Regions from separate parts of the Mus musculus genome. Here all the other regions are reported to be linked to region 7. Evidence: microRNA targets listed by miRTarBase, many of them from high-throughput screens and not tested one by one. Region 7 holds a microRNA gene; each other region holds the end of a gene's coding sequence.

Region 1 (4,069 bases), not on the chromosome of region 7:
AACACCTGGGAAGCAGGGGCAGGTTGATCTCTGCGAGTTCCTGTCTCTGCTGACTCTTAACCCCTTCCCTCTTCCTTCCCTCTCCAAAGAAATACCAGCCCTCGGATCCCGCCTTTGCCTACGCGCAGCTGACCCACGATGAGCTGATCCAGCTAGTCCTCAAACAGAAGGAGACCATCAGCAAGAAGGAGTTTCAGGTGCGGGAGCTGGAGGACTACATCGACAACCTGCTAGTCAGAGTCATGGAGGAGACCCCCAACATCCTCCGAGTGCCGGCGCAGATGGGCAAGAAGGCCGGAAAGATGTAAACTGCGGGAAGGAGGCGTGGTCTGAAGGAGGCGTGGTCTCCCTAGTAACTAGCACACCGGTTCCGAAGGCCTGCTGTGTGCATCATCTCTCAAGAGTTAATTCTCCTAGCTGAAAACCAGATTAATGATTACAACGAATCTTTTACTATACATCTCCCAGCGTTTTGTTTTTCAATGCCACTGTGCCTTTGACTACATTGTAAATATCAGATTTGATCCGATGTGTTTTAACGCCAGGGTTGTTGCCCTTTGATGCTGAGATCTTCCGGTATGGATCCTCCGTGAAGGCAGGCTCAGGGTGAGATGAGAAAGGGACTTTGGGATGTGTGCTGTTTCACCCGCTCTCTTGGCCTTTGAGCACCTCGGTTGAGGCACAAGCTCAATTTTTAATTCGGGTAAACCCGAGGACTCAAGGGTTGTTTTGGTGAGGGTTGGTTTGGGAGGCGTTGTTCTGTTTTCAGGGTGGGGTGTTATGTAGCCCCGGGCTGGGGCTGCTCTTGAACTCACTGTGTACTGAGATTGGCCTTAGATTTCTGACCTTTCTGCCCCCCACTGCCAAGTGCTAGGATTACAGCCGTGTTTGATGCCTTCTGGTCGGAGCACGGTTGTTTACATAAAACCTCTGAGCATGCTTCTTAGATTTTTGAATATGCCTTTTACAATTGGCAGTACCCTCTGGCCTTAAAAATATGTTCTCCATGGATTGGGGGATATAGCTCAGTGGGTAAGGTGCTTGCACTACAAACCTGATGGTCTCCGTTTGGATTCTTAGCATCTATGCTAAAGCCAGGAAGAGTGGCATGTGCCTGGGTGGGGGCTGGGCTGGGGGAGGGCAGAGCCAGGCAGATCTCAGGGGCTCACTGGAAACTCCAGGTTCAGTGAGGGACAGTCTTAAACAATAAAATGAAAAGCTACCATAGACCTCTGCCCTTCATGTGGTCACACACACACACACACACTGCTCTTTAGATCTATAGGGCCATTTCCTGGAGACATGAAAGAACTAAAGAGTCACTTTTCAGGCTGGAGTGATAGTCTAGTGGTTAAGAGCACTCACTGGCTGAACAGTGGACCAGGTCCAGAGGACTTGGGTTCAATTCCCAGCAACCACATGGTAGCTCACAACTGTCTGTAATTTCTGTTCAAGGGAATCTGACCGTGTCACCCGGACATCCATGCAGACAAAATATCAATACACATAACATTAAATTTAAAAGGAAACAGAGAGTCGGTCTCTCCTCAGGGTTCGGGGTTCCTGTTGCCCCGCTGGCCTTTCCTAGGTGGGGAGGGGACTGAGTTCCTCTACAGCATCTCTGTGAGGTGGAGGATGATTTTAGGACCGGACCTTTGGCCGTTTCCTGCCATCGGCTTGTCTCAATGGCGTTTCCTGGAAGGGAGTAGACAGTCCACTGATTTCTCAAGATGAAGGAGGCTCAGGCAGGGGCTGGGTAAGTGCTCAGGGGTAGAGCGCCCCAGCCACACGTCAGCGGTAAGGAACAGTTGTGAAGAGCTACAGGATGGCATCTGCTTCTTTGCTGCTACCTCCTGATTTGGGGAGTTTTGTTGCTGCTATTTTGAGACAGATCTCACTGGCTTTAAGCTTTTCACACATACACACACCCCCACCCCCACCCCCGCCTCAGTTTTTCAAATTTCCAAATACTGGAATTACAGGTATGTGCCACCATTCCTGGTAGATCAATGTATTTTTTTTTTTATAAAATGTACACACACACACATATATATATATACACATATATGCACACCTTAATATATATATATATATACATATATACACACATCTTAAAACACACACATATGTATATATACATACACATATAGATGCACACCTTAATATACACACACACACACACACACACACACACACACACACACGGCCGCTTTTTCACTAGTAGAGGGAATTCCATTGCTGGTCACCTCATTCTGGAATTAAAATGTTTCATGATTTTTTTTTTTCTTCCTGGTAGTAATAAAAAATCTCACTAAATCTTAACACCTCTGCTCAGCGAGTCATAGGCCAATGCCGTGGATAGGGTTGCCGTGGATAGGGTGGGGTAGCGGTGGTTCTCAATGAAGAATCTGTGTGTTCTTATCACCCGGAAGGTGAGGAACGCTGGTTATACTGCAGCACTTTAATCTGAAGGGCAAGACTGTAACTTGATTTACCTAACAAGCTGTTGATGATCCACACGTATTTTTATTTAATCTCTCTTACAGTACTAGGGACCACTGTAAATTTCTTGAGATGATTTGTATTTTTTTTTTTTTTTAGTGTCATGAAATTCATTAATATGCCTATAAAGAAACTGTATCCACTTGATCTCTGAAAATGTACATGTATATTTCTGTTCTGCATCCTGGGGTTTTGGTTTGATTTTTTGTTTTGTTTTTTTTGTTTTTAACTTGATATAAGTGCATTTTTACTGTGATAACCTAAGTGCACTGGAGCACTGCTCAGAAGAGGCAGCCTGGGGAGCTGCCTTGTGTATGAAGAGTCTGGAGGTCTCTACTGCTACTCAGACCTTTGGTATGTAACCGAGTCAGCTCTAGCGAGGACCGTCTAGGTGAAGTGAATTCCTGTGCTCTGAAATGCCACTTGGGGACTCTGGAGAATGAAGGACAGTTTACTTCGGGGGCTTTGCTGGTTTCTGCAGTGCTGGGAAACACTGCCTTTCTGACGTTGCTGTACCTCACAAGGTAATAGAGGCCCTGCCTACTTATAATAACTGTTCCTGACTATTTGGTCGGGCACTAAGGAGTGATACCAACCAAGGGAAGCCGAACCTGCATTGAGCCACTGGCAGAGGCTGGTGACAGGGAGAGCCCTGGAGCTACTGAGGCTGACCTCTGCCTTGTGCTTGTAGCTTCCACTGATGCCAACTTGAGGTGCCCTGGAGGGGCCTACACTCTGGAGAAAGAAGAGAAGGAAGGGAAGAAAGAAGAAAGAAAGAGCCCTTTCCTTGCCCATGCCTGGCTACCTCCAAGAAAGCCCAGCCAGAGATTTGGGTGGGGTATGAAGGCGTTGGATTAAATACCAGCATACTCCATTTTAGGACAGCATCCTAAAAACCAGCCAGCCCTTGGCCTAATCGTTTCATATCATCTTATCTTTGGCTTCGGCACTTGGCCTGGCTTCCCTGTTTTATTCCACCATATTACCTTTACTTGGGCCACAGAAAGAAGGAGCAAGCAACCCTGCCCTGTGCCATGCTCCACTGCTGTCCAGCAAGAGAGGCTGGTCCATGACGCTTCACCGTGCACTGTATCGAGGCTAGAGTTCTCCATCCCTAGGTTCTTCTCCCAGTCAACCACACCGCCCCCTTTGGGTGTCTTGTGCTTGCTAATTCCATGCTCTGTTGCTGAGTTACACTCTTAGCTGGACCCTCCCCCGAGTTGTGTTTCTGTCTTTGTTTTTTGAGACAGTTTCTCATGTGAGCCAGGTTAATCTTGATTTTATGGCTATTAATGACCTTGAACTCATTATCCTCCTGCCTCTGCCTTCTGAGTGCTGGGAATATCAGAGTGTGCTATCATTCACAGCTTTTAATTTTTTTTTCTGAGGGTGGGGGTGGGTACTAATTGAGGATCCTTCAAGACTGAAAATCTATTGTCTTAGATAAGAAGCATGAACCCGGGCTGGAGAGATGGCTCAGTGGTTAAGAGCTCTGACTGGGGCTGGAGAGATGGCTTAGCAGTTAAGAGCACTGTCTGATGTTCCGAAGGTCCTGAGTTCAAATCCC
Region 2 (4,069 bases), not on the chromosome of region 7:
TGTGGGCTTGCTCTCCCAAGTGCTGCAGCCTTAAGAGGCTGGCCCAGCTCTCTCATGCCTTCACAGTCAAGGCAAGGTCCACTGTGTTACCCAGGCAAGGTACAGGGTCAGCTCTGAGTGTTGCAGCCAGTGAGAGATCAGGGCTAGTTCTCCTGTTCTCGTGACCCCAGGTCCAGCAATTGCAGGTGGCAAAGGAAAATGGGAAGGCACCATCCCTGGTCCCACTCCACTTGACACCAGGTGAGTGGAGGGGCCAGGGCTTCTGTGCTTTCACCTTGCAGGGGGTGGGGGCAGCTTGCATGAGTTAGTAACAAGCCCTGGGATGCTCAGGCTGATGCGTAAAACGTCTGCATCCAATGTTCATAAAAACGAGAGGAGACAGGTGCAGCGCTGTATGGGCCTTTGATGCCCTCTGAGAGGTATGATGGTTTTGATCCAAAAGACTTCTGCAGTACCACACACACACACACACACACACACACACACACACACACACACACACACACACACACACACACACACACACACAAATGGCAATAAAAGCAACAAACCCCAGGAGTCCTGTGGGAGCTGAGTGTTAGTGGAAAATGAAGAAAAGTTGAACTTTTCAGTGGCGTGGAAAGCTCTGGGCAGATGAGGAATTCAAGGATGGTCATGGATTTTATTCCTCAGGGGCAAAGGTACTTAGAATTCAGTCTTACAATGCTGTCCAATGTGGCACTTACTCCCAGACTGAAGTGATCCTCCTTAAGCGTCTCTCAAGTAAAGGCAACTAGAATTTCCCTTTTTCTTTCCAATGGGAAGTTGATACCAGAATCATCCTTTTCTTTATTTAAAGCAAGACAATGAATTGGGCAAGATCAATTCATTAGGTAAAGCTTCTAAACTCTTTTTTTCTTATTCAGACAGGGTCTCACTATATAGCCCTTGCTGGCTTGGAACTCATGGAGACACAGTTGCCTCTGCCTCCCATGTGCTGGGGGGAAGCTTCTAATTTCATTTTTGAGTCTACTAGATTGAATTGCATATTGAGTATGTGTCCCCTCAGGCTGAAGTTCAAATATCACTGGGAAAATGTTTAAGCCCCTTGGACAGGAGATATTTCATTTTCTTATATAGGTAGCAAGTGATGAACTGTTTATAAATACAAAAAACATATCTCAAAAAAGAATGATACAACTTTTATTTTCCATGGATTTTACAGATACTTTTGCTACATAGTTTATGTATTCTTATGAGATTATACTTTTTCACTTGTATGAAGTTCAACCTTATACAATTTTAAGGTGGTATGTTTGGTAGTGTATCTATAATCTTTAAAAAGTTGAGTTTTTGGAATGTACAGTATATGAGGTAAAATCAAGATTACATTAAAAATTGTTTTCTCCTCTGCACTAACATTGCAGTGAGGCTCAAATGGCAAGTACACTATTAAATGACATTTACTATCAAAAATAGGAGTTCATTTGAATTACTATGAAAAACATAAGCCACTGTGTGGCACATTTTACCATTTTAGACATTCAACTATATAGAAATCTCTGGGCTCTTACACTCAGACTCATTTGTACTGCCAAATGTGGCACTTTTAAGAAGTTCTAGAAAACAATCGTAATCGCAGTTGTTTGGGGGACAAGTTATCACCCTATTCATAAGAGATTAAATAAAATGTAAACAAACAGTATATTAGAGTGACAGGGTTTTCTTACACTTGGAGAGGCCAAGTTTATCCGTTTCTTTTTTGAATAAAGGTTAATGTTTTTTCTATAGCGCAGATCATTGACATAAAACAATTACAATACATGCCCATTCTATTATAAGGGAAATTCTTCAGAGATCTTCAAAGTACAAAACATACATTTCTTTTTGACAGACAGAAGTGCTTAGTAATCACTAAAATGCAGACCTCAGCAACTAAAAATTAGTGACTCGCTACTCTAAAATCCAAATAATAAATTAAAGAAGCTAGTTACAGATGTCTACAGATAACATGTGATAAAACAAAAATTTCATATAAATTCATTGCAGACTGTATTATTACTGGCAGTCATTGACATCGAGGCGAGATGTACAATGTGATATGACAAAATTCAATCTGATCATCCAATAACTCACAAATGCAAGCTCACAAACAATGAACTATGCAATTTGCAAAGTGCTCTAATGCAACGGTACCCACATGCAATCAACAATTTGGAACAGTATCCAAACAGACATTATACATTAAACATTAGTTTCTCAAGAAAGAAAGCAGCTTGAAGTTTACTGGTGCAAATTAATTTTGTCTTCAGATTTGGTACCCCAAACAAAAAGGTTGAGTTTGATTAGAAATTCTGACGGCAACAGCAGTAGTTACAGGAGATGCTGCAGAACCACTGGGAGTCCTTCAAAGCTAGCCTAGACCAGGTGATGAGTGTGGACACATCTCCTTACCTGACAGTCTGCACACAGACCCAATGTGAATGTGTGTGCACATGTGTGCGTGTACACACACACACACACATACACACACACACACACACACACACACACACGAGTTTCAAGGCCCAGAAAACAGAAGCTAAACGGGCTTCATATTTAGTTATTATTTAAAAGTCTTCTGTTCTCAAATCCCAAAAAGAGGTACTGTTCAGGTAATGATCCGTATTTCTGGGTCTGTGCTTTCTTGGTCTCACTTGTGAGTTCGTGTGTATGCATTTGTGTATGTGTGTGGATGTATGTGTGTGTAAGTGTGTGTGTGTGTAAGGAAGAACTCCACACTCAACAAACAGCTTCTTTTTCACTCAGATTCCTTCATCCAGTTTTTGTTTGCTAAGCCCTCCAGTTATTCATCAAAATCCCACTTACCAAACAATTAAGACAAATGAGGAGGTAGAAGTATAGCACTAGATTGCTTTCACAGCATCAGACTTGAACAAGTTTCGTAGAGAACGTTAGTGTAAATTCTAGTCATTCTGAACTGTTCTTTCACATGGCAGTCATCTGCGAAACCCACAGACGTGGTTGCCACTGTTTTACTTATGCTGACTGGTCAACACGATCATAGCAGTGTCCTTTAAAAAGCTTGTTTCACTAGAAGGCATATCTGGGGTTTCAGGGAGGTGTGTAGGGGAGAGAGAGAGAAAAAAAAGAAGCAGGGAAAAAAGTTCCAACCCCAAACCAAAATACCCAGCCTCCCCAGATTGATGTTTCTGTGCTGGACTCCCATGGAGGGCCAGCCTTTGCCTAACAACAGAAGCACTGAAATGCCAAAGCCATGTTTCAATAGATAGTCTCAATGCCAGTGCTAAATGCCACCATTTTGTAAAAGCAATACAGAAATAATTTTAGTACATGACAAAATAAAATGTAATACAGTGTTAAAAATAAAGTTATATTTTCACTTGATTACAAAGTACTGAATGATAAAGGCAATCAGAATGGAGAAAAAAGCAAACACCACCAGGATGACTGCAGCACACTGCTCGTCACTTAGAGTACGCCGGGTCCGGGCACTGTCCACACTGTCTTTGTTGCTGCTGGCCGGCGGTTCTGTCCTCTGGGAGATGAAGAACACTGTGGTGCTGTAGGGACCTACCAGGTCCTGATGCCCTGTAGGGTCTTGGCATTGGCGAATGGCACACACTCGAAATCGATACTCACAATTCAGCTGAAGGCTGGAATACCGGAATGAAGTATCAGGGCCCTTGTAAATCTGTTGAGGAAATATTAGAAAAAGAATGGAGTACAAAGTCTGGACAAAAACTATTAGCACAGGTACATTCTGGAATTATTTCAGATGTGAACATGTCTGAAAATCACTCATCTCATCTTGTGTATGTGCGGAATGTGGGCACTTGCCCACGCAGGCCAGAGAGCAATGCTGGCTGTCTTACCGTCTTCACGCACTCTCTACCTTATTTATTAGTATTTTCTGGGAAGCCTCTCATGAACCTGTAGCTCGCCTGAGGACTCCCCTGTCCACCTCCCACGCACTGACATTGTGGGCACATGGCTTTTATGTGGATGCTGGAGCTCAAACTCAGTTTCCCAGCTTGCATAGCAAGTTCTTCATCTGCCAGCCTCAATT
Region 3 (4,069 bases), not on the chromosome of region 7:
TAAGCTCTGCTGCCTCAGATAATCTCTTGCCGTTGGCTGATGGTCCAAACACTGATTTACTAGCCATGGGCATGGAGTCATCTTACTGTCCTTATCCACAAACGTGGCTCATCCTCTACATCAGCCATAGCTCGTGGATCCGACCACTAACAAATCTCAAGCCTGATATTGACCAGTGGGTGGCCAAACAATGCCATGATACCATCATTCTTGCCAGGATTAAGTGTGGCCATGACCTCAGGGTCATCCATGACCTCTATCAAGGATGGCCATGAATCTAAAGCTTCTTATGTGAAGGCATTCATGACCTGTAAATATAATGGACGCATTCTGCAATGTGAAACAGTAAGACTTGATAAGTGTTCTCTCTTTAAAAATGGCTACTCTTATGTGTGAATGCATGTGCACACACACATATGGAAGCCAGAGGTCAATACTTTTTGAGACAATTTACTAGCTGAGGCATCTTCATACTCACCCCTCCCCCTTTTAAAGGATGAAGAAGAAGTTCTAGAGTCCTGGATGAAACAAAGCAACGTCTTGTTTTGGGGGTGGATGGCTGACACCTGGCAGGTACAGTATTTAATACCCCACCAAGTTCTCCCTATAAATGCCTCCCTGGCATCATTATACACTTACACATTTCCAAATCTCCTATATATGTTGCAGTAAGGGAACCCCTTGGTGCTAGAAGACCACCAGAGTAGCCCTTAGTAGCCCTAATAGTTACTTCATTTTAACCACAGCACCTCTTCTGTGATTCACTGTGCTGGCTCCCACAAAACTCTTTCATGTCACATGCTGCTTATTCTTATTTTTTTAAAAAAAAGATTGTTTGTGTGTGTGTGTGTGTGTGTGTGTGTGTGTGTGTGTGTGTGTGCACAGGCCAGGACACATGTGAAGGTCAGAGGACAACTCGTTCAAGAACTCAAGCCCCTTGTAAGGCCTCTGCAGTAATGCCTTCAGCCACCCTCCAGCCATCTCAATGACCCTCCAATCATTTGTTCTTAAAGGCTGGCTGTTGGCTTTCCATCTTTGACAAATAGAGCATCATATAGGGAAGACTGTGTTTCTGGTTTCCATCTCACACGAGAATAATGCAAGAATACACACATACAATCTTGGGTTAAGGCAGAAATGATTCCTCAGCAATGTGAACTTGAGAGGGTCCTAGAGTCACTGAGGGAGACACTGATGTCATAGCCTACTGTTTGTTAATATAGCTGCCCTTGATGTCATAGCCTGTGTCTGTCTCAACGTCACCCACCACTCCAACTGTGGCCCCTAAAGTCAACCTCTTCTGTAAGTCCTGGCTAATAAAGACTGTTCTGTCTTGCTGCTTCCATTCATCTCTGGCAAATTATACAAATGCTTGTGGATCCCAAGAAACCCTATTCCTTAGAAAAAGTGTCCTGTTTCATGTGTCCCATGATTTCTGAGTCAGTTACACTCTGCATGTCCCCAGAGTTCATGCTTGCGTCTATACTGCAACATTTATGCCTCCCCAGTTACTTTTGGGTCTTTGTCACGGCCAACTCTCTCCAAATTGTAAATTCCTAAGAGCAAGAAAAACTTGATCCTTCTTTCTGATATAACAAAACCAGAGATGTATCTGGAGTAGCTACTCAACCAGTGTTTGCCGAATGAATGAATGAATGAATGAATGAGCAAATAAGTGACTATAAATTGGGCTACTACGCATACATTTTAAAAAGGAAACAGGATGTTTAAGTAGAATAACTTGAACTTAAAAGCTAGAGATGGTTTAAGTTCAGGAACTTGAAAAAGAGATCTGCTTGCCCAGCTAGAGCTGATGAGCCAATGGCTCTGTCAGATCACACTGACAGCATGTCTACAGTGAATGAACGGGCAGACGTTATCGGGACCTTTACTCCAGAGATAATGAGAATGAAAGCCACAAGGCAAAACATTTTCATGCCTGACATACTTTTTATAACCTTTTTTTTTTTAAATAATCTCAGCTAAAAAGCTACCATCGTATTATTCCGAAGTAAACCCTGTTATGGTGAATGACTAGATGCCATTTTAATTTTTGTTGATTCCCAAAACTGATTTTGAGCAATTCCATTTTTACCCCCCTGTTCTAATTTTAGAATCCGTTTGCCCAGTCATCAGAGCTAACAACAGCCGTGCCAGTGTTCTGAGCAGCTGATTTATCAGTACAGGGGGCCACTGATGGAATGGCAAAGCAGCAAGAGGCACAAAGGACCTGAGGCCCATAATCTTGTATGGAGGTTAAAATAAGGAAATTCTGTTTTATTGACTCCTAAATGTCCTAGCAAGTTTTTGACAGAAGCACAGAGAGAAAACGGAAACAAACACCTTGCTGGAAATCTTTCCTTAAGGCGCCGACCTTGACGACAGCAATCATGCCTTGCTCAACAGTCAAAGGGCACTAGGTCACCTCCGCAAATGGTGTGGTAAGGAACCTGCAGTTCCCAAGGGAGACAAACAGAAGCAAACACATCCCGAGCCTGGCTGAGGACTCTGCCCTCGTCCACGTGCCTGCTGGAGCTGCCAGGTCTCTTTCCCTCCCAGGCAAAGAAAGCCAGTTGTGACAATCCACCTCTCTGTCTCATGGGGCCCACAACTGTCCCTTTAAACACTCCAGCCCCTTCTCTTCTCCTTTATCCACCTACTGTGAGCAAGATCAGATCATGCGCTGGTATTCTTCCTGGGAGGATTTATACAGACTCATGTATTGACTTCTGTGACATAATCAAGCAAGCTTCCTCCTCATTTTGAAACCTTTCTAGAAAATCCTTCCCCACCTGCACAGGAAGCGACTACATTCAGAGAGATGCAGCCAGATTGGTAGCTAAATGAAGACTACATGCAAAATAAAAGAAAGGAAAACACCCTTTTATATGCCTTGTTGGAGGTGTGTCATTGTGAATCATAGAAAACCCTAGAAAAGTAAGAGAGGTGGTGCAGAGTTGTTGGCAGGCTGGGAAGTGTGGCCATTGGACGACTGGTGGGAGGGGGGTGTTTCCTAGAAGTTCTAAACCTTAGTCTGTCTGTCTGTCTGTCTCTCTCTCTCTCCTCCCTTTCTCTCTCTCTCTATCCTGTCTCTCAGAATCTTTTCTCACAAGACACTAGAAATATACAGGGGCTGTGATTAATAGTTCCCTAGGGCATCTATTTTTCTCAGAAAGGGAAGCACTTTGGTGTGATGAAATCCAGGTATTAAACAATAGTGAAGCTTTGGCAGACAACCAACCAAAGACCCTGCTGCTTTTGGAAGACAAATCAAAACAAAAGGGGTACTTACCCTCCCCCCACTCCCACCCTCCTGTCACCCCACCCCACCCCACCCCAACAGCAAAATAGCTTTTGTTTTTCCAAAGTCCTAAGAGGCACAAACAGGAAGCAAGAAGGCATGGTGAAGCATCTCTCGGAGTGCTCTGCTGCCCTGTGCTCAGGTGATGACGGTGGGTCCTCTCCGGCCGGTCCTCTCGTGAATCTGAGATATTTTCAATGCGATGGCGATGAGCGGGCTCAGCACTGCCTGGAAAAGAAAGAAGGATGATAGTCAACTTGAAATCATCTAGCTTTCGTACAGGCTTTGGATGGATCTCTACCTTAGAGATGTGGATTCAGAGTGCATTTTGCAGTTTGTAGGCAGTGACTGGAATGGGCCGGACACAGAAGCAGGACAGAAAACTGCTCTATGAGGTTTTACCCAAGCGCAGAGAAATTAACTAATGGTGGGGTCATGTGTAAGCCTACTACTAAACAAGACTGTGAATTCGGGAAGTCTGGAAACCTCCATTCTTCCTCTGATACATTAATCCCTTCCAAGTTATAGCCCCATCAAACCCTTGGCCTCATTCAGTATGAGGGCAAAGCTCATTGCTGGTCCTCCCACCATACTGAGAACATTCAGGGTAGATGGCACCGCCACCGTGTTAACACTGTAGAACGGGTGGATCAACCCTGGCTACTGAGCTTCTTCAGTCTTCCCAGAGGGGTGGGATGGCTTGGAGAGCTTTGGAACACAGTTCAACAAAGGAGCAAGCATCTCTCCTTGACCTTCCATTGCTTCTCT
Region 4 (4,069 bases), not on the chromosome of region 7:
CTATTTTGCCCTCATTGGTATGAGAGACGGGAAGCTTTGCCTCATGTGGCGCATAGGTGACTTCCGACCAAACCATGTGGTAGAGGGCACGGTGAGAGCCCAACTTCTGCGCTATTCAGAAGACAGTGAAGGGAGGATGACGATGGCGTTTAAAGACCTCAAACTCGTCAATGACCAGATAATCCTGGTAACTCCAGTGACTATTGTCCATGAAATTGACCATGAGAGCCCTCTGTATGCCCTTGACCGCAAGGCAGTGGCCAAAGATAATTTCGAGATTCTGGTGACATTTATTTATACTGGTGATTCCACTGGGACATCCCACCAGTCCAGAAGTTCCTACATCCCCAGAGAAATTCTCTGGGGCCACAGGTTTCATGATGTATTGGAAGTGAAGAGAAAGTACTACAAGGTGAACTGCTTGCAGTTTGAAGGAAGCGTGGAAGTCTACGCCCCCTTTTGCAGTGCCAAACAACTGGACTGGAAGGACCAACAACTCAACAACTTGGAGAAAACGTCCCCTGCCCGAGGATCCTGCAATTCTGACACCAACACCAGGAGGCGGTCCTTCAGCGCAGTTGCCGTGGTGAGCAGCTGTGAGAACCCAGAGGAGACCGTCCTGTCCCCACAAGATGAATGTAAGGAGATGCCCTATCAGAAAGCCCTCCTGACTTTAAATAGGATCTCCATGGAATCCCAGATGTAGCCCTCCTCTCCGACCCTTATCTAAGGGCCAGAAGCTGTAAGCATGATTTTTAACAAAGTGTTAGTTCTGTGATTTGGGACAGGAATAGAAAGCAGAGCAGGTTAAACTTGGTGAATTATTATCTAAAAAATCCACAATTTTACAATATTAAAATTTGGCTTTGGCAGTAGAGTTTGTATTAGGGAAGTGATTATGAAGCTTAATTGATTACAATTAATCTCATTATTGCATATACCTGTGTCTCCTCTTGAAGGTGAAATATTTAGGAGTGGGGGAAAAAGAGGCTGTTAAACCAGATAAATATAGAGAAGCAGATAAGCTAAATATTTGCATATAAAAATAAATTAATTATGGAATGAGAACTTATAACCGTATTGTATCACCTAAGCACAGCAGGTGAAATATGCCTCCGCTCAGAAACACTGAGATGAGAAAGTAAAACCAAGTGAAGTTTGAGTTTACCACATTTGCCTCTCATAGTATCTTGCAGACAGAGGTGTGGCTTTAGGAAAGTGAAAATGCTATCAAGTCAGAGATGCTTGCCTAAAGTGTTATTAGTGAATGCTGGAAGCCAGAACCAACCATGTGACAGAAGAAAAGGGACATCATTACGTAAATTAGTATTTCTCTCTTAAATACCTTGGTTCAACCGAGTCACTGGGGAGCAGAAGGGAGGCGGTGGCCTTTCTGTGTGCTCCCTGGAGAAGGTTCCTGTGCTCATAATCCCACTGTGCTCAAGCATTTGTGAAGAGGCAAGGTGGGATGCAGGAGTGGGCAGCAGCTGTGTGCATCCTCAGACCTTTGGAGAAGAGATGCTAGATGCTCTTGATTCCTGATCCTGAGAGGCTACAGTGTGGGTTGAGGAGAATTCAAAGAGATAGAACCTTTCCTGAAGGCAGAGGATCACAGTATGTATGGTGACCTGAGTTGCAGGTCTGAATACTTTTGTCAACAATGATGTTGATTTGATTGTAAATAAGAGGAATAAACTGAATATTATGGGGCTGCTTAAATTTTAGGACAAGAGATGCATGTTTATTCTCTGTCTTCACATTAAAGGATTAAGTTAATTGCTGATTCCTTTTTAGCACGAACCCAGCCACAGAGACCGTAAGCTTTATAAACTGAGGAATTATTAGCCATGGCTTGGCATCACTGGAGCAATTTTTTCCCACTGTTGCTGAGCTAGGAAGGAGGACATTATATGGCTGGTATTGAATTTAAGCACAAACACATTTTGATTCTTTTGGTGCCTTCTTTCTCTCTCTTCCTCTTATTCTCTCTCTCTCTCTCTCTCTCTCTCTCACACACACACACACACACACACACACACACACACACACACACACACACACTTAAATTTAATCCCATAGGCACACTGAACTGAATCACACAATTCAAGACTTCCAAGCTAAGTCAAATAAATAGATATTCTAAGGGGTCTCTTTTTCTTCTTTTTTTCTGTTATTTTTTTTCTCCCACTCCCTTTCTTTCTTTACCTCTCCCTTGTTACCCAGGATCAATACAGAATACAGTGTAACTTTTCTAATGCACATGTGTAGATAAATCTTTCGTTCCTGCTGTCATATAAATAAGAGATCTATCTGTTCATGGGGCATGTTAAAAACTGTCCTGGACTTCTTAATATCTGAAACCTAAATCATGTTTAACCTGCAATACTTGGGAATGGAGAATCCATTAGTTAAACCATAGAGCCATGTATTTATACACCCACACATCTGGCATGCACACACACACACACACACACACACACACACACACACACACACACACGCACACACACACGGTGGGGTGAGGTGGGTGAGACAGACACACAGAGAAAATTCGAATTTTTTAGCAGGAATTACTTGTCTAAATTAGAATATTACCCTTTCCAAGGCTGGAAAACATCGCTCTAACCATGCTTTCTCCACCAGTTTAAATTTGTTTTCCTTCAAGGCAGGTACAATCCAGTGCACCAGGCTTCCTTTGCTCTGTCCTCCTATGACAAGATCAGAATGGGGTGGCGGTGGTCAGGGATCACAGGTCTCTGATTAAACAGATTCTGGTGCACTGTGTGTTCATACACAGAGTGAAACGTGTGGTCCCATGCATCTCTCATCTTCTGTGCAGATTTATAACATGCTTTGACACGCCTGATGGCTTACTTAATAAAGATCTTAGACTGGTGCAAATGCTGTGTACATCCCTCTGCTCCCTGTAAATGTCGATTCTGCTTCCCCAAACTGAAAATGGTGCCTCCTATAATTCATGAGACACTGTTATGGGGCTCTTACCAGTGTGTGGAGCAGCCACACCTAAAGAGACAGTCACTTCTATGAACAGCACAGACTGGCTTTGTGCAAAATGTACTTAGTCTCCATGATGAAATGGTAAGGTGGGTATTTAACAAAGGTCCTCTTCATTGTTTTGTTTTGTTTTTTTCCCCTCACAAACAAATTCCTAATTGGGGCAGCAGTGTGCTCAGGTGAGACCATGCAACAGTGCCCCTCAGTTTCCCTTTCCTCTGGTGGGAGGGGAGCTCGGGTCACAGATGGTATTAAATAGCTGCATTCTGGGTCATGTTGTTATCAGTGCAAGTCTCTCGGTGTGACTTTCACTTTTATAGAGGCAGATTTAGCAGGCATGCATCTCTTCACTCTCCCTTGTCACCCCCTTTCCCTCATGAACTTCAAACTTGACGGCTGTTGGCTCTGCAGCCATGTCATAAGTGAAACACATCTCCTGGAGACAGAATGGAGGGACAGAGGGACCATAACCTCCACGTGCAAATGTCTGTGTAGTCTGAAAAAAATTCATCCGTGCATACGATATACGTGTGCTTCGGTCACATTCATTTATCGATTTCTTCCTCTGTTCCAGATCCCTCCGACATACCCTCTCCAGACTTCATGCTCTCTTGTCTTTTTTAACCCATTGGGCCCATTTACCACTGGAATAGGGACCACCCACCAGAGACATGAAAATAAAACAAACAAACAAACAAACAAACCCCAGACTCTCTCTACTCCAGTAGCTGTCGGCTATCAGTAGTCACTACTCGGCTGGATCTAGCTTTATGCAAGAGTAAAAATAAACACTGTCTAACCATCACAGGGCAAATCATGTCTCTAGGGAATGACTTTGAAAACAGACAGGCTAGAAAAGAAAAGAAAAAGATGAACAGCTTAAATCCAGTTTGCACTTGTATATGACATTTGCTGTATCTGGTCCCCGTGGAAATTACATATTTTCTTGGGAGTTGAGGAAATGCCATCATTATTGTAAAACTAACACAAAGGAATTGTCTTTGACCTGGAAATCCCTTTGAGACACTGGTGGCTGAGTGATCTTTACAGCAGG
Region 5 (4,069 bases), not on the chromosome of region 7:
GGCAGGTGCAGTGTACCCAGAGTTTTCAGACTGGACAACATTACTGGGAGGTACGTGTCTCTGATCACTCTGTCACTCTGGGCGTCACCTACCCAAAGCTATCACGCCAAAAGCTGGGGACCCACACGGATAACATCGGCCGTGGACCCTGCTCCTGGGGCCTCTGCATCCAGGAGGACAGTATGCAGGCCTGGCACAATGGCAAATCTCAGCGCCTGCGTGGATTGCCCGGACAACTCCTGGGCGTAGATTTGAACTTGACCTCTGGCTGCCTCACCTTCTACAGCCTGGAGCCACGCACACAGCCGCTGCACACTTTCTATGCAGTGTTCAGCCAGCCTCTCTTCCCTGTCTTCTGGCTCCTTGAGGGGAGGACCCTTACTCTGTGCCATCAGCCTGAGGCCACGCTCCCTGCAAGGCCCCAGGAAGAGGCCACAGCACCCAGCTGAGGAAGGCACAGACAGGTGCCACCGTGCCTGGGTGCCCAAAAGTGGCCCCACCTCTAGCTTCTAGAAGGAACAGCTGTTGGCCTCTCTGTTGACTCAGAGACGGACATGGGAGAGGAGCCTTAGAACAAAGTTTACTTTTTACTATCTATGAAGGGGACAGGGGACAGAGAGAAATTAAATAGGAAGTCCCAGCCCCAAGCAAGAACCAGGTTCTTAGCATTGCGTGGACATCTATCTTAGTCACTGTTCTGTTGCTGTGAAGAGACACCATGACTAAGGCAACTCTATAGAAGAAAGCGTTTAACTCAGGGCTTGCTAACAGTTTTAGCCCATGATTATCATGGAGGGAAGCAGACAGGCGTGGTGCTAGAGCAGTAGTCAGGAGCTTCACATCCTGATCACCAGGCGCATGGGCACGAGTGCGCACGCACACACACACACACACACACACACACACTCACGCACACAGACTAGCATAGGCTTTTGTATATTTAAAGTGACACACTCCCCCAACAAGGCCACACCTCCTAATCCCTCTCAAACAGTTCCACCAAGTGGGGACTAAGCGCACAGGCTGTAGACAGCCAATGTGGTGATGAGTATGGGTGCAGCAGATGTGGTGTGGCAGATGTGAACCGCTTTCCTTTGCTTGTCCCACATATGCTTCCATGAAGGTTCTGGGTGGTTTTTTGCTCACATTTCTGGAAGTAGAATTTTTTTTTTTTTTTTTTTTTTGTACTGGGTATAGAGTCTGAAATGTTTTGAATGCTAACATTCAGAGTTCTGATCTCTCACTGACAACATCTCCAGCCTGGGGTGATTTATTTACTTGAGAGCCCCCCACCTCCCCCCCCCCCCATGTTCTGATGTTGGTGGTAGTTACAAGGAAGCCCACTTTTGTAATGTCCTTTTCTTTTTGTAATTCCTTAAGCATTTGTTTTGTATGCTCGTGGGTAAACATCTCACAAAAAAATTAGAAATTCTTTCATGTTTATTTAGTGTGGGACTCAGAGTGGGGTGGCTTGTGTACGCCATGGCTTACGTGTGGAGGTCAGAGGACAACTTGCAGGAGTCCGATCTCTCCTTCTACCATGTGGGTTCTGGAGTGGAACCCAGACTGTCACGCTTGACAGCAAGCACATTGGGATAGCTGCAGTTATCCCATCATCCCGACAATAACAGGTTTTTGTTGTTTGAAACACGATATCTCTATGAACCCCTGGTTGGCTCAGAACTATGTAGACCAGGCTGTCCAACTCATAAAAATCTGAACCCCCATCAGTGGCCTCTAAGAGTTTTTAAAGAATTATATGTGCAATAATATATTCCCTAGGGAAGATATAAATATTTTATATGAATGATTAAGCATCTCTTTCTTTAAATTTTTTAATGTATATGTGTATTTTACCCACATGTATTCTCTCTCTCTCTCTCTCTCTCTCTCTCTCTCTCTCTCTCTCTCTGTGTAGGTGTGTGTGTGCAATGCCTGAGGAGGCTAGAAGAGGGTGGTGGGGACCAAACCCGGTCCTATCTCTTTAGCCCTCAGACAGTCTTGCTCTATAACCTAGCTGGGTGGAGCTCCCTATAAAGCTTATTTGGCTTCAACCTCACTGCAGTCTAGGCAGCCTCCTCCTGCCTCTTCCTCCTGGAATCATAAGCCTGACTTTTTTTGTTGGGTGAGGGGTTGAGACTGGCTCCTAATCTATAGCCCAGGCTGGTCTGGAACTTGCAGTGTCCCCATGCTGACCTCAATCAGGTGGCAATCCTCCTGCTTAGCCTCCCAAGGGTTGGAATTATAGGCATAGCCCATGAGCCATCCCACCTGTGAGCCATCCCACCTGTGAGCAACCCCACCTGTGAGCCATCCCACCTGTGAGTCACCCCACCTGTGAGCCACCCCACCTGTGAGCCACCCCACCTGTGAGCCATCCCACCTGTGAGCCACCCCACCTGTGAGCCACCCCACCTGTGTGCCACCCCACCTGTGAGCCACCCCACCTGTGAGCCACCCCACCTGTGAGCCACCCCACCTGCCAGGTTTGTGTAGGCTGCTGTTGTTTCTGAAGCCAGCCAGGGCTACATAGGAGGGCAGCCACACTCCTAAGAGGTTTAGGGTTATTAATGCTGCACTTGCCCCACCTCCTCTGCAGGGCCTGCTGAGGCAAGATGTGTAACCCATCGGGTTTCCATTTGCCTCTCCTACAGAGAGGGTGGAATTAGAGGCAGGTATGAGCACATCCTTGCAGCGCTACGAAGTGTTGTTATTTGTGCCTGTAATGTCAAAACAATTCTGAAAGAAGGCAGATATTAGAAAACAATGTCTAAGCCAGGTAGCAGTGGTGCACACCTTTGATCCTAGCACTCAGTAGGCAGAGGCAGTCAGAGCTCTGTGAATTCAAGGCCAGCCTTGTCTACAGAGGGAGTTCCAGGACACCTGGGGCTACACAAAGAGAAGAAACTTGCTCTATTTGCTCTGCTCATGTGTGTCCTCAGGGCAATTTTCTCCTGGCCACATGTTCATGGTCGGTCCTTGAGATCCATCCTGCCTCATAGCGACTGCCTCCTCCCGCTACCTTTTTCCTTCTCCTGGTCCCTAGCAGAGACACACACACCCCCCCCCCCCCATCTCAAGTCCCACCTTCTTCTCTCTCCTGCCCAGCCATAGGCTCTATTTAGCCTTTAATTATCCAATCAGGGATTATTGGGGAACATTCTGTACAGCACATTGTTCAATACAATGCCCATGTCTGACTGCAACCTGATCTTGGGGCACAGAACTTAGCATTGGAATACACAGTGCACAAGACCAACCCCAACACAGAGGTAGGCAGCTCTCTATGACTTTGAGGCCAATCTAGTTTACACAGCTAGTTTCTGGCCAGCCAGGGCCACATAGAGAGACCTGTTTCAAAAACCCAAAACAAAAGCGATTACCACCATTCTGTATTTGTGTGCTCGTACACTCAGCTACTGAGAAGGCTAGAGCAGGAGATTGCCTGAATCCATTAATTCCAGACTAGCCTGGACAGCACAGTGAGACCCTAGCTTATATCCTATTAGACCCATATCCAATAAATATGACAGCCTGAGTCTTAGGCATCATAGCTATCAGGTGTCATAGGTATGGCTCCACCACTGGGCTACATACCTACAAATTGTTACCTTTGTGGAGTGGCAGGGTTGAGACAGGATCTCACTGCATGGCCCTGATTGATCTGGAACTTGATTTGTACACCAGGCTAGCCTTGAACTCACAGAGACACTTCTCCTCTGCTCCCAAATACTGTGATTAAAGATGTGTACTACCTCACCCGGAACACTTGCTGCCCCCAACCCCCTCGGGGTTACAGGTGAACAATTACCACAACCAGCTCTTTCTATATGAACAAGATATGCACCATAGACCTGAGTGACTTCCGAGAGCTCACTGCCTTCTTTAGATGAGTACTGCCTTCATTGTCCTCTAGTGTCCTAAGAATTTGCAATGGTCATTAAGTTCTTTAATAAATCTCATTTGGAGCTGGAGAGATGGCTCCGTGGTAAAGAGCACTGACTGCTCTTCCAGAGGACCCTGGTTCAATTCCCGGCTCACAACCATCTGTAATAAGATCTGATGCCCT
Region 6 (4,060 bases), not on the chromosome of region 7:
TTGTTTTAAAGGAAGGAATTTTCTTTCATAATCAAAGGTCTCTGGCAAATGTTTTTGGGTTACAGTTATAGGGTGTGTGTCTGTGTGTGTATGTGGGGGGTGGTCTGTGTATCTTTGTGTCTGTGTGGCATGTGTGTATGTGTGTGTATATAGAGGAAGAGACAGATGTACACAATCATGCCTATGTTCATAACTAGTTAACTTCTTATTTTTAGAATGTTTCCCTTCTTAAAATATAATCTAACTTGTGACAGTATAAAATTCTCTCTCTTTAAGGTAACCTGTTTTTGACTAGTCTAATTTAAAATAATGGCTTAGAGAGTTTAAAGCATGCCTTTATTATAAGAATGCCTCAGAATATATTTTCCTCTTTTGAACACATTTCCCACTGTTTTCCCTTAGGTATAAATTACTTCGGTATTCCAAGGAGCGGCAGTACATCGATGGACTGAACAATTTATTATACACACCCAAAATACTGGTTGATAGGCTGTATACAAATATATCTGTAAACCTCATGCCAGAATTAGCTCCAATTGAAGACTATTAAAAGAAGTCATTCTCATGGTGGGGTAGACCACAGTGCTGGATCATGAACTTGGCTTGGAGTGCCCTCACCGTGGAAGTTAGAGATTGGGGTGTATCTCAGTGTCCCGGTCTGTAAAAAGAGCCAGCAATCCTTAATGTTTACAGCGCGGGCTCCATCCGTCACACTCTCCCACTCTCCCCCTGCTGGGAGCGTCCCCCCATGGCAAGCACTGTAGAGATAAGAACCCATTGCTTGGGACTGGAAGTGAAGAAAACTCCCTACACAGAGAAGATTTTTATACTGAAATCTATAATTTAATTCAAGAGAATGCTTTTATTTCCGTTCAAACATATTTTGTACATATGTGATGTAAATTAAATGTGTTCAAATTGTTGGAAAACAAGATGTCACAATTTTGCATGTAATTGGTTATGCCTTCATTGGACTTTTATAGACATTTTTTTATTTGCATGGGGAAAAATGTAAATTTATGTCGCCAAACAAAGGTTAAGCCTTGTGTCAAATGAAGGGACTGTCAGCGACAGACAAAGATAATATAGTAACCGTTCTGTACTATTGGTGTTCAGCTTTAGACCTTCAGCCTCATGGCAGGAGGCACGGTCCTCTGAGGGCTTCGAAGGAAGGAAGGACTCGCATAACTTTTCTTCCTGCCACGATTACCTGTTTTGTTTTGTCTATTTTTTCCCTTGCTTGCAGTCTCATCAGATCTTGCCAAGTCAACAGCCATATTGTTTATGCATACTGCATGAGTATTACCAAGAAAACCTTCCCAGTTGTAAAGTGACGTGCTGTACAGGACTTCTTCATGTTAAATGTCTCTATGTACCTCCGCGTGTCAGGGATCTTGTGCCTCAAAAAAACGTTCCCAAGGTTGTGTTTATACACGGTTGTGTTTATACACGGTATATATATTTTTTTCAATCTCATAATGAAAACATTATTATTCCCACCTTAGAAGAACCAAAAGAGGGTATCTTCTTTTAAAAACTTTTTTTTTTTGAAAGAATGACTTTATGGAAAATCCAGTAGTGCTTATACAGATGAATTATACTATTAGATGAGAGATTAGATGCTCTATTTTTATGAAGATAAATGCTTAGATTAAAACAAACTTCAACTTTAATTCTCAGACATACATGGTTCCCTTTCACATTAGCTCGTCACTCCTACTGCTTTTTTCACTTTTAAGAAATCTCTGGTGTTATCCAATTTTTTTTTCACTACAAGTATAATTTAATGCCTACCACCACCACCACCACCCCACCACCACCACCATGGTGCTGGGCAGTGAGCCGAGGGCCTATAGACTTACCTTACAGTCATTAATTGACTGTGTGGATATTGTGACTTCTGCTCACCCTCCACACACGGGTGAGGTTTTCAATGACCAGACAACAACAAAGCCCAAATAGTGTTCTTACTTTGAAAATGATTGATTATAAAAATTCTTGAAAAATAGCCTATATTCACATGTAAGATCTTATCTCCCATCTTTAAACAAATTTAGAACAACATCGTCTGTCAAGTAAACCCTAAGAGTGAGAATTCTGGATGTGAGAAAGTTTGCTCCCCTTGTCTAATGTTGAGAGCTTAGCTTTCAGTTGTCATTGTCTGTCATAGTTTTGGTAATGCTGATGACCACAAGTCAAACCCTACAGTGATAACTAAAATTCTTGCACCGGAGAAGACAGATGCCCTGTTGTGACAGCAATCTCTCCGTGTTTATTCTTAGAATTGCTTCTAAAATATTTACCTCCCAACCTTTTTAGCTACTCAAAAAAGAGTGAAAAAAAAATCTCAACTTCTGGAGATGAAGATTTTTGTATGTTCTCAGTTTATGTTCTGTCTCCTGTGGCTAATGAAGTGTTTAATTTGACCGAATGACAGCAGAATGTAATGTTAATGTTAAGGCGGGTGAGACAGGGCTCTTTGGCCCCTCCTTACAGTGCTGTGGGAAGCTGTGCCATGTGGAATTTTATTGGAGGACACACACTTCATAATGTGGCGGGCTGTCCACAGTGGGGTGCCTTTTGCATTGATACTTAGTTCACAGTTTTAGGAAAATTCAGAACTGGTCATCTGCCTTACTTTCTTAGGTTAAGTCTAGTATTAATATGGCTTCCGGAATTGGATGTAAGTAATTTTGCTATATCTTCGTGTTGCATCTGGAATGTCAGCTTGTGAGAACCACCTTTTCTAATTCAGACCTGGAATTCTTTTCAGTAATGAATAGTGACCTGGGTATGTTTCCATGGATGACAGTTTTGCCTAGTTACCATGACCACGTGACAATAAATCTCTTTCTTACATATTAGCACAAGCAGGCAGTCTGATAGAATCAAATCTATTTGGTGGCTTTGCACTGGGTGTCTGTCTCCCATCCGCTGACTGGCTAACTGTGGTATTTAAAGGCAGGTTTTGTTTTTTTGTTTTGTTTTTTCCTAAACAACTTAAATCAAGAAAGTTGAAACTTATCTGAAATTAGAAAGAACACCCTCTGGGAACTTATCTGTTAGATGTCTTAGTCTCAAATCTAGTGTGGTCCCAGCTGCTGGGAGGTCCTTGTGACATTGGGGAAATGATATGGTGCCTTTGAACTAAAGAAATCGTGGCTGATGGGGAGAAAGTTCCTACATTCATTGATTTCCCACATTCTATCTGATTTTCAATAAAGTTGTCATTTAATTATTTGCCAAAACTAGGGTTTTAATGAGGTGGCTTCCACAGCCCCCTTTTTATATTTATTTTCAGTTGTAGGCCCTTGAGATGGCTCAGGGTGTAAAGGTGCCTGCACCAAGCCTGACAACCTGCATTTGATCCCTGGGACCCACACTGTAGAAGTAGAGACCTCCCCTTACACAGTATTCTCAGACTTCCATATGTGTAAGCACACACATGTACACACACACACAGCAAATTAAAAAGTAAAAGTTAAATTTCTGTTTGTGTCTTATAGAAAGGTGTTCACTAAGAAAATATTCATGAAATTTAAGTACAAAATTATCTATTAAAAATTCCTATCGGTTAGTCGTGGTGGCACACACCTTTAATCCCAGCACTCGGGAGGCAGAGGCAGGCGGATCTCTGAGTTCGAGGCCAGCCTGGTCTACAGAGTTAGTTCCAGGACAGCCAAGGCTACACAGAGAAACCCTGTCTCAAAAACCAAAAAAAAAAAAAAAAAAAAAAAAAAGAAAAAAAAAGAAAACTAAAATTCCTATCCCAGCTCTCCAGATGCAGAGGCAGGTTCTCTGAGTTCAAGGCCAGCCTGGTCTACAGAATGAATTCCAAGACAGTTGGGGCTACACAGAGAAACCCTGTTTAAAAAACACACCAAAAACTCCTATTCCAATTGATACTGATAACCCTTGTAAAAGGAAATGGAAGCATTATCAATACAATATTGTCCCTTTGGAGATCCCTGGGGGAAGCAGATTTGTGTCATTGTATCTGTCCTGTTTCTTTATGTACCTTTCAGATAAATAACACTCTAGATTTCTTGCCTTGGGTTTG
Region 7 (4,069 bases):
TACAGATTGAGCAGGGTCGGGAGTTCAAATTCATGCTTAACTTCAGCTGGACATCATCCTGGTATTCATGTGATGCCACCCGTGTATGTGCATGTGTGTTTACGTCCCTGTGTATGCACATGTGTGTATATAAATATACATACCATAAACATACATGTAAATGCAAGCACACAAACATGGAATGGCATTCATTGATACATTTGAATGATGTGTGACATAGAGCTTTAAAGATTATGTAGTATTGGGCTAATGAAACTTTTTACTCACAATGTGAAAAAGCTTCCCATATTCAGAAGGATTAGGAGTTCAAATTTATGAATAACTTCAAAATGGCTTAGAGATCAGCCTGGCTTTATGGGTTCCTTCCCAGTGTATGTTCATGTTGCATAGTTTTGTGTGCTAATGTATGTGTGCATATGAATATACATATAAATACACACAAACACATACACACAGGCACACACACACACACACACACACACACACACACATACACACACACACACACACACACACACACATACCCCGAATGGCACTCATTGATACTTTTAAATGACATGTGACTTAAAGTTTTAGAGATTATGCAGGGCTGGATCAGTGGGTGCTCTCACTCACAAGGTGAAAATGCTTGCCAGAGTCAGGAGGATCAGGAGTGGAAATTCATTCTCAAATTCATGAGTCCAGGATCAGCTTCGGATTCTAGTGATGCCCCCAGTGTATGTGCCTGTGTGTATATGTATGTGTGCATGTGCATGTGTGTATATGAATATACATATACATACACACATACCCATACAAACATGCACACAAACACACAGAAAATTGACACTCATCGATCCATTTCAATGATATGTGAGTCTTAGAGATTCTGTATGACTGGGCCACAGAGAGGTCTCACTCACCAGGTGACGCCCCTTGCCAGAGCCAGGATGATCAGGAGTGCAAATTCATGTTCACTGCATGATGAGGTAGAGATCAACCTGGCATTCATGTGATGACCCCTATGTATGTGCATGTGTGTTTGTGTGTACATGTACATGTATATATATATTGATATACATATAAATACATGCACACATATTCATGCATGCACACGCACACATTAATGGCACTCTTAGATCCATTTGAATAACATGTGACTTAGAGGTGAGAGATTATGCAGTACGGGGACAGTGAGTGTTCTCACTCATCAGGTGTAGACAACTGCCAGAGTCAGGTCTATCAGGAGCTTAAATGCATGCTTACACTCATGAGGACTTAGAGATCAGCCTGTGATTTATGTGATTCCCCCCATGCATGTGAACGTGTGTATAGTTGTGTGTGCATGTGTGTATATGAATATATATAACATCCACACATGTATAAATGCAAGCACAGAAACACACAAACATAGGAATGGTACTCATCGATCCATTTGAATGATATATGACTTAGAGTTTTAGAGATTATGCAGTAGAGGGACAGTGAATGGTCTCAATCACCAGGTGTAAATGATTGACAAAGTCAGGAGGATCAGGAGTTCAAACTCCATTTAGAGATCATCCTGGTATTCATTTGATGCCACCCATGTATGTGCACGTGTGCTTACATGTGTGTGCATGTTCATGAATGTATATGGATATGCATGTGCAGACACACACACACATGCAACACACACACAAACACATGGTGACTTGCATTCATCTACTTGCATAATATGTGACTAAGAGTTTTAAAGATTATGCAGTACTGTGCCCGTGCATGCTCTTACTCAACAGGTCAAAGTGCTTGCCAGAGTCAGGCCTTAAAGGTATGTGACTTAGAGTTTGAGAGATTATGCAGGGCTGGATCAGTGGGTGCTCTCACTCACAAGGTGAAAATGCTTGCCAGAGTCAGGAGGATCAGGAGTGGAAATTCATTCTCAAATTCATGATTAGGTAGGGATCAGCTTCAGATTCATGTGATGGCGCCCCCCCCCCCCAGTGTATGTGCCTGTGTGTATATGTATGTGTGCATGTGCATGTGTGTATATGAGTATACATATACATACACACATACCCATACAAGCATGCACACAAATACACGCAAAATCGCCACTCATGGATCCATTTGAATGATATGTGACTTAGTCTTAGAGGTTCTGTATGACTGGGCCAGTGCGTGATCTCACTCACCGGGTGAATAATCCTTCCAGAGTCAGGAGGATCAGGAATTCGAATTCATGCTTAACTTCATAATGAGTTAGAGATCAGATGCGATTCGTGTGATGCCCACCAAAAATGTGCATGGGTGTATAGTTGTGTGCATATTCATTTCTCTATATGAATATGCATATACACGCAAGCACACACAGGAATGGCACTCATATATCCTTTTGAATGGTATGTGACTTAGAGCTTTAGAGTTTATCCAGTAACGGACCAGAGCTATGTCTCAGTTAGGAGGTGAGTATTCTTGCCAGAGTCAGGAGGATCAGGAGGTCTAATTTATGTTTAACTTCCTGATGAGTTAGAGATCATCCTGGCATTCATGTGATGCCCACCAATAATGTGCATGTGTGTATAGTTGTGTGCATATTCATTTCTCTATATGACTATGCATATACACACATGCATACAAACTCACATACAGGAATGACAGTCATATATCCTTTTGAATGATATGTGACTCAGAGCTTTAGAGCTTATGCAGTACTGGGCCAGAGCTATGCCTCAGTTAGGAGGTGGATACTCTTTCCAGAGTCAGGAGGATACGGAGTTCAAATTCATGTTTAACTTCATGATGAGTTAGAGATCAGCCTGGAATTCATTTGATTGTCCTTGTGTATGTGTATATATGTGTAGGTAAGTGTGCTTGTACATGCATGTATATGAACATACACACACACATACATATACACATAAGAATGGCAGTCATAGATCTGTTTGATTTATATGTGCTTAGAGTTTTATAGAGTGTATAATTATGGGTCAGTGTTACATCTAACTCACCAGGTGAAAACCACTTGCCAGAGTTAGAAGGATCAGGAATTTAAATTCATGCTTAACTTCCTGATAAGTTTGTGATCATCCTGGCATTCATGTGATGCCCACCAAAAATATGCATGGGTGTATAGTTGAGTGCATATTCATTTCTCTATATGAATATGCATATACACACATGCACACACACACACACTCACACACAGGAATGACACTCGTTTATCCTTTTGAATGGTATGTGACTCAGAGCTTTAGAGCTTATGCAGTACTGGGCCAGAGCTATGTCTCAGTTAGGAGGTGAATACTCTTGCCAGCGTCAGGAGGTCCTGGAGTTCAAATTCATGTTTCACTTCATGATGAGTTAGAGATCAGCATGCGATTCATGTGATGCCCTCCCCCATGTATGTGCATGGGTTCATACTTATGTGTGCATGTAAATGTATGTATATGAATGTTCACATACATATACATAAACACACACACTGGCATTCACCTACACGCACATTAGTGGCTCTGATCGATCTATTTGAATGAGATGTGACTCAGAGCTTTAGAGCTTATGCAGAACGGATCCAGGGCTAGTTCTCCCTCCAGGTGAAAATGGCTTCTGTGGAAACCTGACAGCCTGAGTTGGATCTCTGGAACTCAGCACACAGGCAGGCTATGGTGTGATTCTTTTGGTTTTTCGTACACCTGATGATTTTCTTTGAGTTTTCAGATTGCAATATATCTTAATTTAAAATTTATCGTTCATCTGGCTCGGGAGACTGGAATACCTCCCTCATTAATAGCTGTCTTCTCTTTCATTCTCTATGAAAAAGGTCACTTTTAATTGAATGGGGTTAAGAGGTAAAGCTGGGTTGCTCTTAATATTGAAAACATTTCTGGTCGTTAAAAACTAAGAATCCTTTTGCTTATTTAATAATTCTTTAAGAATTTTTTTAAAGTGTTGTTTTTCCCTGTCAACACTTGATATTTATATGATATTAGAGTCTATTTTTGGTGATATCTTTGTCTCCTAACATAATTCAAACTAGAATGCTGTGCTTGCTTTTACACAGAGAAGTGCTTTAATTGTTGTACGAAATGTGTCCCAGCCTAATTCTTTT

Evidence for each region. Region 7 holds the annotated microRNA mmu-miR-669m-5p (UGUGUGCAUGUGCAUGUGUGUAU, at 1,987-2,009, shown strand). A microRNA usually pairs through its seed, bases 2 to 8, with sites in the 3' UTR of a target mRNA and lowers its output. Matches are read on the target gene's strand: a 7mer-m8 pairs with bases 2 to 8, a 7mer-A1 pairs with bases 2 to 7 and ends in A, and an 8mer does both.
Region 1: the mRNA of Rab11fip1 is a reported target of mmu-miR-669m-5p. Seed matches in the 3' UTR shown: 7mer-m8 at 2,068-2,074 and 7mer-m8 at 2,152-2,158.
Region 2: miRTarBase lists Fndc3a as a target of mmu-miR-669m-5p. Seed matches in the 3' UTR shown: 7mer-A1 at 2,476-2,482 and 8mer at 2,466-2,473.
Region 3: the mRNA of Pgm5 is a reported target of mmu-miR-669m-5p. Seed matches in the 3' UTR shown: 8mer at 875-882.
Region 4: the mRNA of Kcnj16 is a reported target of mmu-miR-669m-5p. Seed matches in the 3' UTR shown: 8mer at 2,452-2,459 and 7mer-A1 at 2,501-2,507.
Region 5: the mRNA of Trim65 is a reported target of mmu-miR-669m-5p. Seed matches in the 3' UTR shown: 7mer-A1 at 877-883 and 7mer-A1 at 911-917.
Region 6: miRTarBase lists B4galt6 as a target of mmu-miR-669m-5p. Seed matches in the 3' UTR shown: 7mer-A1 at 3,438-3,444 and 7mer-A1 at 3,587-3,593.

What each region holds. Positions count from the first base shown.
Region 1 is chr8:27,139,415-27,143,483 of GRCm38, reverse strand. Rab11fip1 (RAB11 family interacting protein 1 (class I)) reads left to right here. Exons shown (of 6, transcript NM_001080813.2): 6 at 90-4,069. The coding sequence ends at 308. 4933416M07Rik (RIKEN cDNA 4933416M07 gene) reads right to left here and starts at 574. Exons shown (of 4, transcript NR_045840.1): 1 at 123-574; 2 at 1-5.
Region 2 is chr14:72,536,788-72,540,856 of GRCm38, forward strand. Fndc3a (fibronectin type III domain containing 3A) reads right to left here. Exons shown (of 26, transcript NM_207636.2): 26 at 1,166-3,694. The coding sequence ends at 3,380. Among named protein-coding and RNA genes, the nearest start is that of Gm30500, 47 kb to the left of the region's middle.
Region 3 is chr19:24,681,046-24,685,114 of GRCm38, forward strand. It overlaps Pgm5 (phosphoglucomutase 5), which reads right to left. Exons shown (of 11, transcript NM_175013.2): 11 at 1-3,529. The coding sequence ends at 3,440. Among named protein-coding and RNA genes, the nearest start is that of Tmem252, 9.1 kb to the left of the region's middle.
Region 4 is chr11:111,025,068-111,029,136 of GRCm38, forward strand. It overlaps Kcnj16 (potassium inwardly-rectifying channel, subfamily J, member 16), which reads left to right. Exons shown (of 2, transcript NM_001252209.2): 2 at 1-2,901. The coding sequence ends at 706. Among named protein-coding and RNA genes, the nearest start is that of Kcnj16, 30 kb to the left of the region's middle.
Region 5 is chr11:116,122,446-116,126,514 of GRCm38, reverse strand. It overlaps Trim65 (tripartite motif-containing 65), which reads left to right. Exons shown (of 6, transcript NM_178802.4): 6 at 1-1,807. The coding sequence ends at 449. Among named protein-coding and RNA genes, the nearest start is that of Trim65, 6.6 kb to the left of the region's middle.
Region 6 is chr18:20,684,811-20,688,870 of GRCm38, reverse strand. B4galt6 (UDP-Gal:betaGlcNAc beta 1,4-galactosyltransferase, polypeptide 6) reads left to right here. Exons shown (of 9, transcript NM_019737.2): 9 at 403-4,060. The coding sequence ends at 550. Among named protein-coding and RNA genes, the nearest start is that of Gm16090, 22 kb to the right of the region's middle.
Region 7 is chr2:10,515,096-10,519,164 of GRCm38, forward strand. Mir297a-4 (microRNA 297a-4) reads left to right here and starts at 1,972; the gene lies at 1,972-2,069. All of the region lies in intron 10 of Sfmbt2 (Scm-like with four mbt domains 2), which reads left to right. Mir297a-3 (microRNA 297a-3) reads left to right here and starts at 725; the gene lies at 725-826. Mir466l (microRNA 466l) reads left to right here and starts at 1,002; the gene lies at 1,002-1,122. It also overlaps Mir669i and Mir669h.